Linked DNA regions of Mytilus edulis. Each later gene encodes a partner of the first gene's protein in a complex. Links are inferred from orthologs where the notes say so. Each region holds a gene or a part of one and is shown on either strand. Other genes may lie near its edges.

Region 1 (6,338 bases):
AGCTGGCCCCTAAACAAATATATACTAGATCAGTGATAATGAACGCCATAAAGGGGTTTCATTATCTTTCATGTTGACTGGTACTTTCCATGTTTCTAGGTGGTACTTTTCAATTTATTCCCTGAATATCTTATATAAAAATTCCTACATTTAGGCGGTACTTGTCAATAGCATAGGAGGGTAAAAGTACCGGGTACCGCCTTCTAATGAATGGCCTGGCCGGCCCATACTAATTTCCAAATTGTACACAAGAAACTAAAATTAAAATAATACAAGACTAACAAAGACCAGAGGCTCCTGACTTGGGACAGGCGCAAAAATGCGGCGGGGTTAAACATGTTTGTGAGATCTCAACCCTCCCCCTATACCTCTAGCCAATGTAGAAAAGTAAACGCATAACAATATGTTTTGCTATTTGCATGACTTGGACTCTGGAGACTCAACTTTTTATGACAGACCTTCCAAAGACTTCACTACATGTTAACAGACTTTGGGCAATTTGAGCTTGATACATATTTGATGATTGATATTTGCTCGACATTCAGTTAAGTTTGATAAACATGTGCATGTATTAATGTTGTGGAATATTATTCAATAGCTCTCATCATTCAATAGTCAAGTTAAAACCCTGAATTTAATACTGTTGTTGCATTAGCCGATTTACCCATCAACAGACATATTCCTTGGAAAAAATTAATAGTTAACCGAGTTTCTGTGACATACATGTACATGTAGCTGTGAAAATAACTAACAATAAGGGCAATATTAATCAGTTCACCCATTGGGCCAGGTGACCTACATTAAATGAAATAGAATTAATCCAAATACTGTCTGGTATTGTCTATTGATTTTATTTGATAAAAGTTACACACTTGCTTTTGGCTTATTGCACATTAAATAAACTTGATTCAACAGTGTTTAACCATGGACAATATGTTCCAAAACTCCTTGTCTAATTAAATGTTCACATTCAGATCTCAATAGAAAATGCTGGCTATTTTTCTTCAACAATACAATGTTACCATCTTGAGTTTCAAATTCACCGTGATCCATCAAACACCTGACTTCAATGAATAAAGTTTTTGGTGGTTTAAGATCTTGTGTGAGATCAAGTCCCCCGTGGTCTCCTATAGACCTCATATAGTTTGCTAGCAATTTGTTATATTTTCCAAACCACTGAACTTCCTGTTCACCTAGGTTCAATTTGACATCCGAAGGCAGTACACTTCCAAACTCCCATCTCATCTTCTTAATGTGTTGTAATCTGTTATAAATATATGCTAAAAGACACCTTTTATTCCTTTCCAAAGCAGCATGCCGAAGTTGTACTCCTGAAAACAAACCATTTTCTCCAGCAACTGTGGCGCTGACATCCTTCTGGTTTTGTTCAAACAAAGCTTTCATCTCCTCTAACACGTGTCTGGCTGTATCTTCATTATATGGACCAAGTGTGCTATCAATTGTTCGTTGTAACTCAGCAATGAGCTCTAAAGCTTTTTCGGCTAACATTTCTACGATGTTCAATGTATGTGACTGTTTATCAACTTAAATTCCCGCCATTTATAACTCCCCTCGGAACATTTTATTATCGGGTCTCACTAATTAGCGACAACAAGCGTCAAGAAGCGACAACAAGCGTCGACAAGCGACAAGAAGCGACAACAAGAATTATTTTAGCGACAACAAGCGACAAGAAGACTATTTAGCGACAAGAAAACATATTTTTTTTTTATTAGATATAAAGAAATTTGTATTTAATGTTTTTTTTAAAATATACGAGCAGATATGTCTAATTAAAATGTTTTATTATATAGATAGACGAAGAAATGAAACATAAATTTGTGAGGAAGAAAGAGATTGTGAAGTTTATATTAGTATATTGGTAGATGAAGAAATTTAACATTTGTGAAAAAGAAAGAGATTGAGGTTCTTTTTTTTTTATTTTTAAATATGAAGAATATGTATAAGATAATGTATGTATCTGTTTTCATCAAAGTCAAAGTATGAATAAACGAATGGAGATATATATATGGAGCGGGCATAACGGAATATAATATTTTGATTCATTTGCTTAATACTATGCTCTAAGTGTACTCTTGTTATGTCAATTCGATGCTTTATTTGTAGAACTCTCAGCCACGCTTTGCCATCTTTATTATTTAAGCGTGTTTCCAGACCCATGAGTCAAGAATTTTTGCAATGCAAAAGCCTTTTCTTTCTCCGATTTAATCTGCCATAGAGCTTTTGTGCATTGAAAATGGCTTACTGAGGAGCTTAGCTCAAAGTCTCCATGTCCATAAAGTGCGCCATTGACAAGACTTTCTTGCAACTTTATTTCTTTGTGAATTAGCTTATTTGACACCATCTCTATACAAGTCAAAACTCTCAGTCTTGTTGCAAGACTTTCATTGCCACACATGTCCACTGACAAAGAATTGAAGAGACAATTGCCATTTGTTGAGACTTGGACAGGGTTTCTTTCTTTAATAATCATGCTTTGTTCATTTAATATTTGTCTAGAAACCCTGTCTTCAACCAAAGGTATAACTTCCCTACTATTTCCTTTGCTCAAGAGGAAAACCCTTATCCCAAGGGATTCAGTTTGACACGGCGATGTGACAAAATAAGTGCGTTTCAATATTTACCCTTGCCCAAGGGGATATCATGAACGGACGTGTCCACTATAGTATAATTATAATACTTCTAATATGCATTTATCGAAGTTTTTCCCTTGCCCAAAAGGAAATTGAAACCCTGTACCAAAGGGTTCGTTTGATACCGCGCAGTATCAAAGACGTACAAAGTAACTGATTTATTAATCAAAGGTAAACCGAGTTGCGTTTTAGATACTAGCAATTGCACAGAGCACGTACTTTTGCTAGAATAATACTGAAATGCTGACAATTTACTTTATACTAAACATAAAAGTTGAATGGCTTCAGTCAGCTTGGTAGAGCAAAGGAAATGCACACGCTATAAAATTGAAACAAAAACAAAAAAAGGTCAACTTTCCTTTGAAGGATTTATTGAAACAAAAACATGAAATATTATTTCCTTTCTAACAGTATAATTCATTGTTCTTGATAGGAACAACATTAGATGTGGCTTCACCCTAAGGTAATAACAGTACACACAATGTGGAACATCAAACGAGATTAACGAGTCGCGTGTCCCCTGTTTTATTGCTATAATAACATCCAATTAACACCTTCAACTTGTACACGCGTCAGACTATACAATTACACGCGCCAGAATATACAATCATTGTAAATAGTGAATACCTGTTGAAAACTCAAGATTGTCATTAATTTCCTTTCATCTTCAATCAATATGCATAAACATGATAAATATCGTTTAATGAGGCATTAATAAACAAATAAAAAGATGAAAACATTCACATTTCAATTTTCTTTTCCTCCTGTTTGATTTCAGTTCTTTGTATTTCACAATTTGTGTCAATATTTTCAGGACAATGATGCACAAATAATTCATTTTGCGAGCTTAATATATATTGCACGAAAAGACTAGAGTTTTAAAAAACAAATTATAAAATAAATAATTTGTTCTAAAACACAAGGAAAAGTAATCTCATAATACAATAATTAAACGTAATACTGGCTGTTATTCATAATAGATGATAAAATATTATGTAAATAATGTTTCATTTTTTTCTATCAATTTTAACTTTCTTGTCGCTAAAATTATTTTCTTTTGCATATTCTTTTAATATTTATTGCAATAATTAATTTTAATTAAAAAAAAATGTTTTCTTGTCGCTAAATAGTTTCTTGTCGCTTGTTGTCGTTAAAATAATTCTTGTTGTCGCTTCTTGTCGCTTGTTGACGCTTGTTGTCGCTTCTTGTCGCTTGTTGACGCTTGTTGTCGCTAATTAGTGAGACCGTTATTATCAAATCATTCATGGTTCTAAACAATGAAAAAGTGCGAGGAGCTCCGACAAATAATTAAACTGGGATCCTAACTCACTTCTTAGCCGCCGACTGAAAGCGTAGATTAGGACCCCAGACCGAGAGGTAATCACGTGATATCAACATGACCTTTGGAAAATTATTTTCTCCCAGGGCTAATAAAATGATGTGATTTTTAAATAAAGCTGTTTTACTGTGCATCAGTTAGCACGTACAAAAGAAATCTATGCAATTAAAAATTCTCTGTTTTTGACGTTTTCAATCTTTATAAACCTCTTTGATTTGTTTCATAATATATGATCATATATCTACAGGGACACCTGTTTTCCCTACAACAATGGAATAGCCCATCAATGAAATGTAATTTGATAAGGGGCACTCTTTGATGTTGTGTGTGTGTGTAGATTCCTGAAGATTCTACGCAAGAGTTTGTGCACGTAAGCCACCATCCAACGTGGAACTTTCTGGTGATTTCTCAGACCCTTCATGTTACTTGGTACTGAAGTTGTCATTCACTATTAAACAAATTGTTAAAAAATAAACAACAAAGTTTTGAAGACTAACTCAGGAACAATGACAAATCAGAGGTATTTGTTGTTGCTTATTTGCGTGGCATCAGTTGTTAGATGTGAACTGTTTACATCTTTGGCCCACATGGAAAGAGCTTTATTTGCAGAGAGAGAAATTTCTTCAAGAATAAAAGAATATGTAAGAGAAGAAAAACAAAGATTGGATGCACTCTCTAGGTGAGAATACCACTTTTTATTTTAATAAAACTAAAATATATACATTAATAATAATAATAATAGCCACCAGACTTTATATGATTAACTGAGGCTAGTACACTTGTACCTAGCTTGTATCTAGTCCTGTAGGTTGTCAGTTTGACATGTCTTGATGTATGGCTATATAGCTGATCATTCGATTGTGTGGTACTGGTAGATACAAAATAGAGTTATTTTATGATTGTTTTAAGATAATTCTTCTACAATTTTTTTAGATTCATATTCGAAAGGATGTACAAAAGTCATTTAAAGTTTTAAATTATTTAAATTCATAAAATATTATTAAACAATTTTGGTTAGAAGTTGACAATTCCTCATGTTCATAAGAGGATTTTTAAAGAGGACCTTTACTTCCATTTTGTAAAAATAAAATTGAATAAATGGGTATCCCAAAATGACATGTCCATGTCTTCATCCCTTATTCATGTTGATCCTTGGTCACTAGCTAGTGACCTGTACATGTATAGTTGTCTCATTGCATTGACAAGCATATCAAATTTTCCTTTTTTTATTTTTTTAATACTACAAAAAATGTACATGTAAAATATTGTCAGATAAAATGTTATCCCAAACATTTGCATAATATTCAGTAATACATGTAGGTGTAAAATACCAATTTAAAGATAAAATTGCTCCATTTATAGTTGTATCTGATCCAAAAGGTTTGTAAATTTCCATATGTATATTGCTTTGATTTTGTTAAGCAGAAAACAGGATGTACTCAGGGGCGGATCCAGCCATTTTAAAAAGGGGGGTTTCTAACCCAGGACAAAGGGGGGGGGGGGGGTTCCAATTACATGTCCCCATTCAAATGCATTGATCGTCCAAAAAAAGGGGGAATTCCAACCCCTGGAACCCCCCCTCTGGATCCGCGCCTGGTACTATTTTCCATGTTTCTTATCTGATATTTTTCGCTCCAAATAACCAAGCTCATTGAACAGGAAAATACTATTGTAGGAGTTTGAACACCAAATGTTACCATAAGCAATAAAAATATTAATTTTATATACATTGTAAGAAGACATCTGCATCTTTTAGTTTTTACAAATAATAGTAATAAAAGTATAAAACTTTTGTTGAAATTTCAATAAAACTGCTACACTCTACACTTTTAGCAATGTTTAGTAACTTTTGTTTTAAAATAATGTTGAAGAACAATATGCTGCATGCAATAAAATGTTTAATTTAAGATTTTTGCTCCTTGATACATGTACAAAAATGTATTATCAAAGGATTATCATAGTATAAATTTTTTATGGCTTTTTGATAAAAAGATTTATATTTATATATGGCATATATATGGAAAATATTGTCTTTAGTTTAATGAAGATAAATTAAAGGATTGATAAAAAGATAATGATTTGGAAAATGTTGACTTTGATAAAATGTAGATAAAAGGATTGGTAAAAAGACAATGGTTTGGAAAATAAATCTTTGATATAATGAAGATTATCTTTGAGTTAAAGGATTAATTTGTACATGTAGATAGTTTAGCATGACATCAATTTTCACTAAACTACCTGAAGTACACATTTTTATCTAGGGCCAGCTAAAGCCCTCCTGCGGGTGTATAATTTTCTTGCTGTGTTGATGATCCGCTTGTGAATGCTTGTGGCCTTCAGATGTT
Region 2 (7,533 bases), on another chromosome or scaffold:
TTTACAGTAAAAAATGTTTGATGTCATTATGGAAAGATTTGAAAAAAGTACTGCCAGGAGTTACGTAGGAATAATGGATGAAAAAGGCAGAGGAGTGGAAAAAACTTTAACAAATGAATGGTAAGAAAATATTGATGTCTCAGTACAGAAACTATGAAGCTCATTCAAAATAGAGTAAGAACCTCTTTGTACCTCTTCATGTCCAGCTATAACTTTAACCTCAGGGAACAGGTAGCTGGCTATTCTACAAACAGGATCTTCTATATGATGTTGCTCCTTGCAATACTGTTTAGCAGCTTCTGTAGCTAGATTCAGTTTGGTTCCCCAGAAACAAAACACTGTCATCATTCCGCTAGGTGTCTCCTCTGAGGCTCTCTGCATTGCCTGAGCTCTTACTTTGACCACACTGAGGGCTGAAAATAGTGACAGATAATAGTTACTGTTATAAGAACTGGAAACTTGTTTTTAATATTGACAAAGTAAAGTCGTGTGACAATGACTGCCTTGTCTTGGTTATCCATTAGACAGCAATCTAATTACACAAATAGCAAATACAACATCACATTTAAAGGTTCACAAACTTTTTGCTTTTTGAAACTTCAGCAAGACAGCACCAGTCTTTATATTAAGGCAATATTATGTCTACAGCTCAAGATGTCCATTTTTAGCTGCTGATTTTTTTATTCAGTTAAAAATTTACACTTGCTTATCATGCTTATATACTAGAGCTGAATAATTCACCATAGATAAGGGTGACAGCTGGGAGATAAAGGGAATCACTCTTTGATTAATAGCTGTCTCATAAATCACGAGCATGTATATTACTGCACTCAAGGCACACAAGCTACATTTCTTTACCTCAATCCAAGTTTTTTCCAACTGAGATGGGATCTGAGATTCATGAAATGAAAACTAGTAAACCAAAGTAATAAGTTAGAAATCAGGTAACAAAATTGTTTCTCTCATGTTAAGATGGACTAGTACACATTTTTGTTTAGGGGCCCTCCTATGTGTTCAGATTTCTCCCTGGGTTGAAAATCCATTAGTGGCTTTGTGCTATTTTCTGCTCTTTGACACATTGCCGATTTTCATTCTTAATTTTATCTTACTTGAAGTAATAAAAAACAATCTTGACTTATATCTCTATATATTATACATTGTATATACTATATATAATATAAGATATAAAGCTAAAGGCTGACCAACGGACACTACAAATTATGGTATAGATGCTACATTGTAAGTGAGAGATGTGTGTGAACTTAGACGAGATTATCTCCCCCTAATAGAGTACAGTCAATCAAGAAATTATTGTGAGGTTTTTATTATTGTGAAAAATGCGAGAGAGTTGTAAAAGCAATAATTTAAACTTGCATTATGAAATATTTAATATAAATTAAACACAATTTTTCTCAAAATCATAAAAAATTAAAATCACATTTTAATCTAAAATGACAAAATCGCAATAATAAATGCAAGCAATAGTTTCTGAATTTTCAGTACATGTAACAAGTCAGGCTATCTTGACCATGCCCTTATTGCTCACTTTGTTTTTCTTTCTTCATTCAACATTTTCAAATTTTTAGCAGATCCTGTTTTTCCATTTTTTTCTGAGTCATTGATAATCAGAGATCCCTGTGATCTATTTTAAGATGGCACATTACCATTGTTAGACTTGCTACAATTCCCTTTCTAATATTTCTCTCTTACTAATTTATATGTTTACTGATAAGTGCCAGCCTACTGATTGCCCTTGGAGAAAGGTATAATATAATTGTAATCTCCTAGTTATAGCAGTAAAATTATTAAAGGGGCAAAATTGAAAAAATAATAATAATTAGGAAGGGACATGTAGCAAGTCTATACCATTGTCTAAAATCCCTTTCATGGTTCACAATCAATTTGACAGTTTTTCTTAGAAAAGATATGAAAATGTGTGATAATCAGGGTTATAAATGCTTGTTATGGGCCCTGTGAACTAAAGCCCAATAAAAGTTTACAGTAAATATATTCATAGCTGAATTATTTTGTGCTCTATTTAATCTAACTGGTAAATCTCGTCATTGCACGACTGTGACACTACACTACATGATGTAGTTTAGTGTCAGAGTCATGCAATGAGGAGGTTTATTAGTAGTTTTTTGTCAGAGTCATGCTATTTTAACTGTTAAAATAGAATTCAATTATTTAAGATTCTCATTTAAATAAACTATCTAATATATATATAGCTATATGTAAGTACCATCTTCAAAAGACATCATTCCAGCAAACACCATAGCAGCAAACTCTCCAACACTGTAACCAGCTGTAGCAACGGTATTCTCTATACCCTGTAATACAACAAAATCATGATATTAATGTACTTATGATATCAATTGATTTTTCCTATACATCTTTCATTCATTTCCCCATTTTCATCTTCTACACAAGAAATATTCTTCCAGCATGAACTGTTTTTACACCAAGGCTTATAGCAGGCAACAAATATTCTATTTTGTTTAAAATGGTCATCTGATCAACATGAAAAATTCTGCTGGCAAATATCTGTTTAAAACAATTTTGACTCACAACAGGCCACTTAAATGTACACATGTTACAGACCCCTCAACATGCTCAATAAGAGTTGTTGCAAGGGTTCTTTAACGTGCATAGTGCATGGTACTCCCTGAATATGGGAGCTCAGATTTAATGTCCCTGTCTGACAGTCAGATTACTCTATAGAAATGCTCAACAAATTTGCACAGCTACCACCATTTGTTACGCGTAACCAGGAAGGGGTGTTTGAAATTTTTTAACCCATACAATGTAGGTTCGTTCCAGTTTCCTGGGATTTGAAGAGCAATGTTAAAAGTTCTGCAAAAGTTAACCAATTGTGAACTTTCCATTTCTATGTACATGAGGTAGCAACATACCAGCAGCGCCTGCATACGAACTATACATGTATATCTCCCGCTTGATACGATATATTCCCCAAAATGTATTTCCTATCATGATTCCCTTCATGTAGGGTTGCTGCGCACATGGAAGCTATTAAATTTCCAAATGATCAAGTTCAAATCATCAATATCCCTTTGCACGACAGGTGCCACATGAGGAACAGGATCTGCTTACCCAGAGAATATATACAAATGTAACAATAACTGTAGAAATATTATAATATTTATAACTGTAATGTTGTAACACATTGTACATTTTGTATGTGTAAAAATCTTTTTATTATTGTTTACCTGAAAGTTTTCTTCTTTTAATCTCTCAATAGCTGCAACAGATGTCACAAAAACAGCAGGCTGACAATGTATAGTTTTATCTAGTTCTGATTTTGGACCATACAGACATAGTTTTAGTAAATCATATTTCAGTATTTCACTAGCATGGTCATATAGTCCTTTGACACCTGGAAAGGGTAACAATTGTTTACCCATGCCAACAAACTGGCTTCCTTGCCCAGGAAAAAAAGTAAATGATTTTGTCTCTGGGTCAATTTCGGGTCTTATTATTTGTGAATGTTTTTCATGTTCTTTTGATTTTTGATTGTCACCAACATCTGATGAAAAAGTCTCTACAAATCCTTTATCGTTATCTGAGTTTATAATCATATCATCAAGCATTCCTTTGACTTCAAGTGTGCCCTGGTTTTCATAATCGGATGTCCTTGCAACAGATCTCGAATGTGTTGAATGAAACGAATCGGTTTGTCGTTTCCTATGTCTTCTAGGTACATAACTTGCATCACTTGCAATGTCAACTGATGAAGATGGACTTGTTTGTTCGTCTGTTTTCTTGGAACAAAACGTCCGAAAACTGGTTAGAAACCTTGCATCAGAAAACAACTGTCTTTGTGCGACAAAGAAAATGGAGTCTCTTAACAACAATGGGAACATGGTCTTCAGTAAGTTGCTACACCTTAGTTATCAATCACTTATAAGAGTGACAATTGATGAAAATTTGGCCTCCATGTGCTCTTGTTTACAATCAGCTATCGGAAATGGGTCGTACTCCGAAAATGAGATTCACCTTTTTACGACAAATACTTTAGTATCATAAACATTAAAAATCGGATTCAAAAATTCATTTTTTTTTTGTTTTTTGGTCTATAATGGTGAATTCCTGTTTTCATTTAAACCATTTTTGCTAAAATTCGAGTTAGTAAAGAAATTCTTTTACCGGAAGTAAAGGGAAATATTTCCCGCGAATTTCAACACGTGACACCGACCCATCACAAAACAACGAAAAACACATCTCAGGTATTTGACAAACTTGACTTTAAAAATGCATACAATGATTATGAATAGCTTCTGTTGCTCATGTCATTTTCAAAATGCATTAACATATACTTATCATTATAGCTTTTACATGTTATCACATTGACATTGTGGTTATTTTTTGGTGTTTTGCAAAAAATGTATAAATTAAATAGCATTTTAAAACTTATCTTCCAGTTATCTGCCTTTTATTGTTTTATGATTACGTTTATATGTGATTGATATATGTTTCGGCACAGTTCTGCATGTATAATGTTTTGATAGGTTATTGATGTACTTTGTGTATCTGTCAGAATTTAGTTAAAGACTTAAAATTGACAAAAATGTGGGTATTTATCACAGGCACTAATGTCTTGTCTCCGAAAAAATTTCCTATATATCTTCTTCTTTAGGTTTTCAGTAGTCCTTCAATGATCTGAAGATTATTTACTGTTTGCGAGCGCAGCGTAGCCTATAATATATATATATATATTTACAAAGACAAAAAAAAAAATATTTGGAAATAAATTTGAGGTGCGTATATACCTTAATTATAACACAAGGTACTTTACTCGCATTTTTTTTAAATGTCAGTCAGTGGCATAATTCAGTTATGCTGATTTCTCGTTTGTCAACCCCACGAAAACTTGTTTTATCGTAAATCTAAATTTTATTATCTACACAATGGTGTATAACACGACTACTGTTATTGTCAGAATCATCCGTAGCAGTCCTACCCAAGTATGTCAATCGTAATTATTTCGTCTACCATGTCTACCGACGCCAATTTAGAAACACAAAACTTGCAGTGGTCTAAAAACAGTCACATGAACATTTATTGACAAATCTTGTGTATTGGAGGTAAGGGTAATGACTGTGCCTGTGTTCCATATGTCTATTAAAAACAAGATGCATTTGATATTTATGAACATTGATTTTGTATTACATTTCTCACTGGTTTGAAATGAGCTTTTTAATTTGATTGTAATTAAAAAAAAAAAAGTTGTATATTCTATTATACAAAAAAATGTATCAATAATTATAATCAATATTTAAAGAAAAATATTGAAAAAACTAACAAGGGAGATTTCTAGAAAACGTATTAATGACATAGTTAAAATAAAATTGCCATTGAACTTTCAAAGTCGAAATTTTGACATTTCAAATCTTAAAATCTCTGTGAGGGTAATCAATTGTTTTCACTAAGTGCGATAATTTCCATGGTTGCTTTTTTAACATTTTATTCCCTATCCGATGACATTAAATTATAAAACCTGAGGCGGGTACTCATAGCCTATGAAGATTAAATTGGCTTCATGTCCCCGCATGCGGGAATGTGCAGGCACTGCCTTATCTTTGATTGTAATGCTTCTTCCGCATAGTGGTCTGGCTGTAAAGGTTCACCCTTTTCCACCATTCCATGAAGAATAATTATTTATGATATGGACTTTTTTTGGTGTTTGTGAGTCTACTGTAATGTTTTAAAGATTGAGTTTACTTTTGGTTTTGTGCTGCTGATTTTTGCTGAAACTATGGCCTTTTGACTGAAAATTTCTATAATAGATTTAGCATTTTTTTCTGGACTGAAGGCCCTTCACATACATGAATATGTTGAGATAATTTTTAGAATGTTAGTCCAGTATGACAAGAAACAGGTCAAGATTATGTTTATGTATCACTCCATTGATTTTTGCCGAAATAACAGGCAAAAATACAATATACAATGTATGTTACTATTTTTTTCTTCTTAAAATTTAGAGTTTCAGCTCTGAAGAGGATGTTCTTTTAATGTAGTAATAGTTTTTGTTGTTTAATTATATGCAATATATCATGACTGCTTATTTCAACCCTTCTGTACAACTGTATCTATTTGTCTTGCAGATTGATCCTTTTTGTACAAATGTATCTATTTATTTGTCTTGTAGATTATAAAACTTTCCAGTTGACAACCCAATATGTCTGAACCATTGACACCTCGTAGAAGTAAACGGGGGAGGACATCAGAGCCTACTTCTCCAACAACAGATGAAAATGCTAAAACCCGTACGGTTATGTTGGAAATAGTTTGTTAATAACTTGTTTCTATGAATAAAACTTTTTAGGATTTTAATTCAGGAAGTTTGACAATTTTTTACCTGTTCATTATATATTTAGCATGATTAGTCTGTAGTGAGGGATCAGACAAGTTGCAAGATCGACACCAATAGAGTAACATTTGAACATGTATAACTAAATAGCTATTAATTGCATTCAGAAGTTTAGCTCTCTTTGTGTTCACTCCAATGGATGGAAACAACAAAATTAACTGAAGCTGTTGTGGAAATTGGTATTCAGAACTATTTTAATGTTACCTGCATAAAAAAAACAATCTATTTATTGCAATAAATATAATTACGATATGAGATACAGTTTGAAAACAGTATAATTTTTCTTCATTCTTACATTTTCTTCATCTGGTTAACGACACTAATTTTGATTTTCTTTGTTTATTTTTAGCAACCAGGAAAAGTTCAAGATCCAGTGCAACAACACGTATGTATATATTGTCGCATTATTTTTTGCTGCTATTGTTTCTAAAGCATTCAACATGTTAAAGCAGGGACATAAAAATGAAGAAAAAGAATCCACTGTTTAGTGTAAAACACATAATCATTAAGATGGTTTGAGTTTCTGTTGCTGGCCATATTTGAAAATGTGCCAAAAGGATTAGTGTCTGACTTTTTTTGTCCGTAGACAAAAGTTTTATAAGGTGAATCCAGAGCAGTCCCAAGAAAAAAATGTTTTTGCATATGTTAATTAACCAAAAAAATAATCTGTTGTAGTTAAGCAAATCTGAATATGGTTCTTTTGAACTCTAATACATAGCTATTAGAGTGAAATCTAAAATCTAAAAAAACCTACCAAAGCAATTGTTTTCAAACATGAGAGAAATTGACATTTCACAATGAAGAAACATCTAAAATGAGAGACAGTTATGGACAAATAAGACCAAATTTCAAAGCATAAACTTTAAGAAAAGAAAAAAACTACCAAAACTAGGAGGGAAGTCTGGTACAATGAAAAATGACTTGTCTTTTAAACAGTGAAAATAGTCTATGAAATGCGTGAACAACTTAAATGTCAGAGTAGAATGACTAAATGTGCAGATTGATATGTCATTTCATGTGAAGGACAGTTCCAATTCCCAGGAAATCAATTAAGCCCATACTGACTGTTTGTTATTGTTCGTATGTCATTTGATTTGTGGTTCTTTTTTAGCCTCATCAACAAGAGGAAGTGCAAGAAAAAGCAA

Evidence for each region.
Region 2: DNA replication complex GINS protein PSF1-like (region 1) and DNA replication licensing factor mcm4-A-like share a complex: the UniProt entries of both Homo sapiens proteins name them as parts of the CMG helicase complex. The link is inferred for Mytilus edulis from reciprocal best matches to the Homo sapiens genes GINS1 and MCM4.

What each region holds. Positions count from the first base shown.
Region 1 is NC_092352.1:54,417,118-54,423,455, forward strand, and holds DNA replication complex GINS protein PSF1-like, read right to left. Parts: upstream 1,583-6,338; 5' UTR 1,510-1,582; coding exon 919-1,509; 3' UTR 831-918; downstream 1-830. Other genes in the region: prolyl 4-hydroxylase subunit alpha-2-like, read left to right, coding at 4,500-4,672. UniProt on the Homo sapiens protein: Required for correct functioning of the GINS complex, a complex that plays an essential role in the initiation of DNA replication, and progression of DNA replication forks.
Region 2 is NC_092348.1:46,351,714-46,359,246, forward strand, and holds the start of DNA replication licensing factor mcm4-A-like, read left to right. Parts: upstream 1-4,156; 5' UTR 4,157-4,244; intron 4,245-6,166; 5' UTR 6,167-6,196; coding exon 6,197-6,284; intron 6,285-6,737; coding exon 6,738-6,773; intron 6,774-7,499; coding exon 7,500-7,533. Other genes in the region: malonyl-CoA-acyl carrier protein transacylase, mitochondrial-like, read right to left, coding at 193-413, 2,243-2,330, 3,228-3,881. UniProt on the Homo sapiens protein: Acts as a component of the MCM2-7 complex (MCM complex) which is the replicative helicase essential for 'once per cell cycle' DNA replication initiation and elongation in eukaryotic cells.